Arabidopsis thaliana: one gene and its partner. The protein of the gene in region 1 interacts with the protein of each later gene in a pairwise test. Each region holds a gene or a part of one and is shown in the gene's direction. Other genes may lie near its edges.

Region 1 (3,304 bases):
TCCTATTTCTAATTCATGTTTTTCCAGGGGATATTATGCCCCCTCATGGAGTGCGAGCTGCTATGGAAATGCAAGCTGAAGCTGAGCGTAAAAAGAGAGCCCAGATTCTTGAGTCTGAAGGTAACCTTGACTGACTTGTCTTTGAGAACTCATCTTCGAGACTGAGCAGTGCTTGCTACGGCTCATAATGTTATTCTTGGCTAAAATCTATCTGTTATTCCTTTTGAGTTTCGTTTTTTGCATTTGGAAAAGAAGAGGCCTGCTTAGCATGTTTCTAATCATTGCTTTACTAAATTTGACAGGAGAAAGGCAATCCCATATCAACATTGCTGATGGTAAGAAAAGTTCTGTAATCTTGGCATCTGAAGCAGCAAAGATGGACCAGGTGAATCGAGCACAAGGTTAGTGAGCCATTAAGATCGAGAACACATCAGAGTTGCATGTTATGTCCATTGTTAGTTAGTTTCACTAGAAGAAAAAGTTAGTTTTCATTTGCTTATTTTTCCACTGTACACTGATGAATGCTTGGTGCATGAGGAACTATTTTCGTTACTGCTAATGCACAATATGGTTGCTATCTCCCACTGGTTTTTTCTTATATTATCCTTGATGATGTTCTACAGGTGAGGCAGAAGCAATACTAGCTAGAGCACAAGCAACTGCGAAAGGCCTGGTCTTGTTATCTCAGTCCCTCAAGGAAACTGGGGGAGTAGAGGTGAGTAATTGAGATCAAGCAGAATATTGGTATTCATAGTTTTGATTTAACTAACTAGCTTTGATTAATTAATTCTTCATAGTATTTACACAAATTGCTAAATGTGTACGTCTTTATTCTCTTTGGATAAAGGGTTCTGTGTCTTCTTGAACTTTCCAACTTTTGGAATTTTAAGTCATATCACTATTATTGCTGTGTTTAGGTTTCTTAACTTTTTCTGTCCAAAATATGATCTCATACGGTGTCACTGTAAAATTTGCAGGCGGCGAGTTTGAGAGTTGCAGAGCAATACATTACAGCCTTCGGTAACATTGCCAAGGAGGTAAAAACAAATCAATTACTGTAATCTCTTCCAGTCTCTTGGCATAGCTCGGGCTTATGTAATGTTCATGTTTTTTGTTTTTTTTTGGGGTTTAGGGTACGATAATGTTGCTTCCAAGTGGTGCTTCAAATCCTGCTAGCATGATTGCTCAAGCTTTAACAATGTACAAAAGCCTTGTCATCAATGGTCCAAGCAAAGATCACCAAGAAACACAAGCACTTGATGAAACAGATTTGGAAGAGTTGGAAGACATGGGTGAGAAACATATATCAGAAGGCTCTAATAACCGATCAGGCTCAATATCATTTGACACAGAGAAACCAGGTCACACCGGTGAACCACGATTTTCTCTTCAGAACCGCAACAAGGATCCGCAGTAGGCAGCCGAACCGGGGATGAGATAAATTCTTTGGGCTTGAGAAAACTGGAAACCATTTTTCATCTTTCAAATATGAGGCAGTAACCATCTTTTCCGTTTGAATAGCTAGAATATCATCACTTTGCATATAGAAACGAATCTGAACATCTGTTCTCCGATAAGAATTTTCCTACTGGATTTGTTATGAACATGGTCCTTGTGTTCTTATTCACCTTTATTCCCATTGCATTGCTTATTACCTGTACCCGTTATTATTCGGTTCGGTTGCAGAGTATTGCAATCTAACCAGGAGGAGCTTGTGAATCCATGAGATGTCAGAATTTGCCAGCAGAAAAGAAGCCATTGCCCCCTAAACAGGATATAGAAGAATGGTGGAGATAAAAGTTGTCCTCCGGATAAATAGGTCCTCACAGAGAATCAAAGGTGTAATGACTTGTGATTCTGAAATTAACCAAAACTTTACCTGAAATAGCTTTAGTCCATACGATTCCTGTATGAATCTGTTCACAGCCCTCTCCTCCATTTGCTCAGCCTCCGGTTATAAAATTAAAGAGTTTTGGCCTCTTCAAAGTCAGCTTTGTCTAGAGGAGTTCTCCTTTTCTTTCTTTCTTTTTTTGCTCCACAGCTCTTCCCATTGTAAGTTTTGTTTTCCAAACTAATCCTTTCAATCCAAAAACCATGGGAGCCTGTGCGAGCAAACCTAAGGAATCTGACATCGTCGAAGGCTCTGTCTCGACCGAAAATGCTGTTGTTGAGTCCAAGAATGCCGCGACCGAGACAGATGCCACATTAACTCAGGTGAGTCCAATATATTCTTTCTAAATAATTTAGTAGATGATCTTAAAGATTCTTGAATTGAATAACATGAAATTTACCAATTAAACAGAATTTACTACAAATTCTTGATTGAACAAACTCATATTAAGTTAAAACTATTGTTGCTGATTGTTGATTAAAGGAGAAGAAGGAAGAGTCCATTGAAGAGACAAAGAAGGAAGGTGAGACAAAAGAGGACTCCTCTGAGGCAACCAAGGCTGAGCCAACTCCAGAAGCTGTGAAGGCAGAAGAAAAAACATCTTCTGAGACTGAGCCACCAGCACAAGAGACCACACCTGCTGCTAAAACCGATGAGGCCCCTCTCGTGATCCTTTGATTTTCATTTCATCAAATCTCAAAATCATGAGTATGTGCAAGTGCAAGTGTTTCTCACATTGTTATTCGTATGTTCATCTCTGTTCTATTGTCAATATGTACAATACCCATGTACATTCTGTTGTGCCCGCCTCTAGTAAATTATGATTAACGAAAAATTACAATTCTTTTTTATATAGCTTATGATGTGTAAATATCAACACTAAAACTGGGACATTCAGTTGGCACCAAGTAGATCGATATCTAGACTAGAGGTTCCTCCTCTATGTCCCACGGTTGCAGAGGATAAAATGAAGAATGAGTACATGGCCTACAAAATCTTGGTTCTTTTTGCATGTCGATTCCAACTACCACGCATTTATAGCAAGGATATTAAATTTCCGGTACGGTTTTAGTTGGATTTCGGAGAAGGCAATGTACACTTTTACCGAACACCCCAAGTTTTATTGGTCGTAAACAAATACTACAGGCCACCATGGATACATCTAGTGCGCATCTATATCGAGGCTCAATTAAAATTTTAACGGACCCCAATCAGACGTGTCTACGCAAGGCTCAATCGACCAGTAATACAACTATAAATAAGCAATCAAAGCAGCAAATGGGAAAACCAGCGTTATGTTTTGGTATGAGAATCATGTCAGCAACAACCAAACGGTGTATATATTAATAACTATCGAGAGAACACAACCAGAGTTAGGTAGGCCTTGTTAGATTTTCACACCAAACCCTGGCA
Region 2 (3,932 bases), on another chromosome or scaffold:
GTTTGGAAAAAAAACTTGAGTAAAAGAAAAAAAACTTGATAAAAATCACTAAAAATTATGTTTACACTTGAGTTAAAAGCAAACATTTTATCTACATAAGATGATACTAATACAAACTAATGGCCTATATATATTTGTAATCCATGAAATTTAATTTTATTTTTGTAACAGACATTATGATTGTAACATTTTAATTTCTTTGCCCAAAAACAAAACATTTTATTTTTAAGTTATTCGACTTCTTATTTGTGTTCATCCCATTTTTTTGTTTCCAACCGATGAACAACGGAAGGTTGCGTCAAAACGCAAAGGGTTGTGTTGTTTGTGTTGAAGTGGAGCTCCTTCATTTTAGGAACAAGCAGAGGACGTTACACAATCAAACTCAGTTTCTTCCCTTATTTAACGTAACCACTAATTCTATTTTCTTGTTCTTTTACAAAGTTCATAAATGGAAATGAACACGTAAGAAGAAATAAAACAAAGTTCAAAACTAAGAAACAGAAAAACAAAAAAAAACATAAAAAAACATATAAAAAAAACATAAAATTACAGAAGAAAAAAATGGGTAGCTTCCTTGAGGTTCTTTGTGCAATCTTCATACCTCCTGTTGGTGTGTTCCTCAGATATGGCCTTGGGGTAAATTTTTTTCATTCATAAATCATAAAAATATATGACACATTTGACATTAATGGTCAAAGTAAGATCAAATCTCTTGTTTTTTTGTTTCTTTGTATATGTGTTTGCAGTTGGAGTTTTGGGTCTGTTTGCTTCTAACGTTATTCGCTTTTATCCCCGGACTGATATATGCCATCTACGTTCTCACCAAGTAGGAATAACCAATCAAAAACACTGGATCCTTTTTTTATTTTATAACTTTTTCTTTTTCCAACAATGTTTGCTTTTTTAGATTTTTTATGTTGTATTTAAGGAATCAGTTTTGTAATCTAGCAAACTTTTTGCTATGTTAGATGTATGTAAATTCCAGCAGTTTCCAAATTGCTGTTGTTCTAGTTTGCAGAGGTTATGGATACATTTTACGGATCATAAACAGATTTGGAAGATTGATGATATTATTATATGCGTGATATAAATTTTGAATTGTAGTAATACTACATCTAAAGAGTGATCAAATTATTAGTACCATTAGGAACTATAAAGTTCTGATAGAGATATTACATGGAGTCATCGATACACACAGTTTACTTATGCGTATAACGATAAATATAAACCTGTGTACATACATTTATAATTTTATATAGCTTCTGCAATTCCGATTTGAAGATTGCTTGAATCGAATACCGTGTGGTATAGGCTCCCATGAAGACGTTCCCAATAATCCCTGCATATACAAATTCTTTACCTCAAAGTGGTAAGCAAAAAATGTAAACAAAATCTATTGAAATCGTCCCATCTTACCAAAGAGGATCAATTGGTATAGTCAATGCTCTCCCATAATGAAAAAAATTATGAGCTACTTGGTTACAACAACGATTCGAATGAGAAAAATATTATTTTCTAACCTTAAATATCCAAGATATCGGTGTAAATTCCGATAATAGATGCGTCTATTAATCCATTGTTAATGCTGTCAATTAAGGTTTTTTGCAATCCCCTCTAACTCTCTAAGTGTACCTCGGTGAAACCTCGAATCTACTTTACACTAACTTTTAATTAGTTCGTACTAATTAACGAAAAAAAAACCTTTTAATTAATTCAGAAAGACAGAAACCAACTCCTTGAAAAAACAAATTGTTTTTCCGAGCCACGTGTATCACTTGGATCCGACGATTATTGTGTCCGGCCCATTAAGATAGTTAACACTTATTGGGCTTCCAAATATCAGCTAATTAGACACGTGGATCTGATTCTCTTCTCCGTCTTCTTCCGACAAGCTCGACGGCGACACAGCCAAAGAAACTACGCATCACCGGTAACGACAGAGATTGCTTTTGCTTCTGGTATTTATGTACCAATTCTGCTCTCTTTTTTACTGCTTAGATCTTAACCCATATAGAGTTATTATATCTGTTGCTCGTTTTTGAAGTTGCCCTTATACTGCTCGATGAAATGCCTCAGTGAATATCTTAATCACAAAACCGAATAGTTTCGTTTCTCTTATACTTAAATTAATTTGGTGTTGTTATTACAGAGAGAAATGGCGTTAAGGCAGAAGTTAGGATGGTCAGAAGGAGATCTGATGAGATCAGATGCTAAGCCATGTTCAAGACTGATGAAACAAACAGCTGCCATTTTCACTGTTGGTGGAGCTCTTGGTTTCTGGGTTCTTTGCAGACTTCACTATGGTAAACAAAGTTCTCTCCTTTCTAATCAGTGATTTGCGTTTCCATCAAAAGGTTGTTCTCCATATAGCTATTGAATCCAGTGCTCTGCATAATTGATTGTTAGAAAGATTTCTTGTAGCCTTATGAAAACATACCAATGCGTATTACCATTCTGTTTTCTGTTCTGTAGTATCCGTTTCTTATGAGAAAAATGAATCCAAAAGGAGCTTTGATTGAATAGTTTGATGTGGTGAAAGATTGGATCTTTACACGTTTTGGGAAGCAATACACTTGTTCTTTGATTCCTATTGTCATGAAAAATGATTCTTGGGGTTGGTTTGTTGTTTATGTGGTTTTAAGAGTAAAAGGAACGTAGAATAGAATAGTTGAGTCAATTCTAAGATAGAACGGTTATAAAAGCAAATGTTTTCTTTGGGAAATGTGTAGGTCCAAGGATCACAGTGCCAAGGAGTCTGCGGTGGGCTGGGTGTGGTGCTTTGTCCGTAAGCACATCAACTGCAATGCTTGTCCGTCTCTTCAGCCCTGAATGTGAACCACAAAACATTGCTGCATATGATAACATCAAAACCCCTCAAGCTTCACTCCCTTAAACCCCATCATAATCTGGCTTTACCTATGATGTGTATGGACCTCATCTTCTGTACATTTTCTTGCAGTACATGAATTTAGGTAACTATTTATAATACTACCAAATTCTGTCACTTTTTGTTTCCTTTAGAAATTATGGTGTATTTTTTCATATAGCCTTTAGGTTGATAGAGTTAAGAGTATCATCCTATGCTCCTCTCTCATTTTCGTGTGTGTTTGATTATGAGTGTAGTGTAATTGGCCATTGGTCACACTCTTTTGGGAGAGTGTTTAGCTTTCTAAAGCTTTTGCTGTCGAAGGGAAGACCTTTGGATTTATTTGGAGGGTTGGGTCTCACTATCCCCTCAAACTAGTCATAGGTGGAATATCCACACCGAGGTTGTGACTTCATGGAGATGCCTGCTAGTTAAATATGTGTAGGAATATGTTTGATCACCAACAAACCTAATGCTACCATTTCTCGAGCATAATTAATTAATTAATTATAATCGACATCAATGTGTTTTGAATGTGAGTAAAGAGCTAGGATTTCAGTGATATTGTCATATAGACACAGCATATAAGCCTGTGGTATTATAATGTCATGGAGAACATAACTTAATCAAGTGAATTCTGCAAGCTATGGAGGCCAAAGATCTAGCTTTTTGGAACGGAGGTTGTTTCTTTGCATTTCGAATGAAAACAATAGTTGAAGCAGAACATCCTTAGGTCAATAGTTTGAATCCGGTAGGGTCAGATCTTATTTTCTAAAGCTTGTTTCATTCCATTTTCAGTGTTCTTTGACAAGAGTATTACAACAAAATCGTTATCAAAAGAGAACTCAATAAGAGAAATGCATACATGTCAAGTTTTTTTTTTTTGGTAAAAGGTTAAGTTACGTTACATGCCAAGTTTGTTATAGGGAATGAGTGGAAATGTCAGAGGTTACTTTCACTATACTTGACACCTTATGATGTTTGAACCATTGACTAGGCAGACTACAAAACCAAAAGATCCATCCACATGTGGTTTTTGCACAGTTCTTGGCGCAAAGAAACAACC

Evidence for each region.
Region 2: the proteins of AT4G27580 (region 1) and AT1G57540 interact in a protein complementation assay, tested with the Arabidopsis thaliana proteins (one large-scale study listed by BioGRID).

The regions. Positions count from the first base shown.
Region 1 is NC_003075.7:13,765,097-13,768,400, reverse strand, and holds AT4G27580 (phosphatidylinositol transfer SFH5-like protein), read left to right. Parts: upstream 1-1,803; 5' UTR 1,804-2,094; coding exon 2,095-2,214; intron 2,215-2,374; coding exon 2,375-2,569; 3' UTR 2,570-2,742; downstream 2,743-3,304. Other genes in the region: AT4G27585 (SPFH/Band 7/PHB domain-containing membrane-associated protein family), read left to right, coding at 28-120, 303-401, 624-715, 978-1,037, 1,133-1,417.
Region 2 is NC_003070.9:21,309,439-21,313,370, reverse strand, and holds AT1G57540 (40S ribosomal protein), read left to right. Parts: upstream 1-1,849; 5' UTR 1,850-1,958; exon of another isoform or gene 1,959-2,149; 5' UTR 2,150-2,155; coding exon 2,156-2,303; intron 2,304-2,729; coding exon 2,730-2,893; 3' UTR 2,894-3,476; downstream 3,477-3,932. Other genes in the region: AT1G57550 (Low temperature and salt responsive protein family), read left to right, coding at 562-636, 747-830.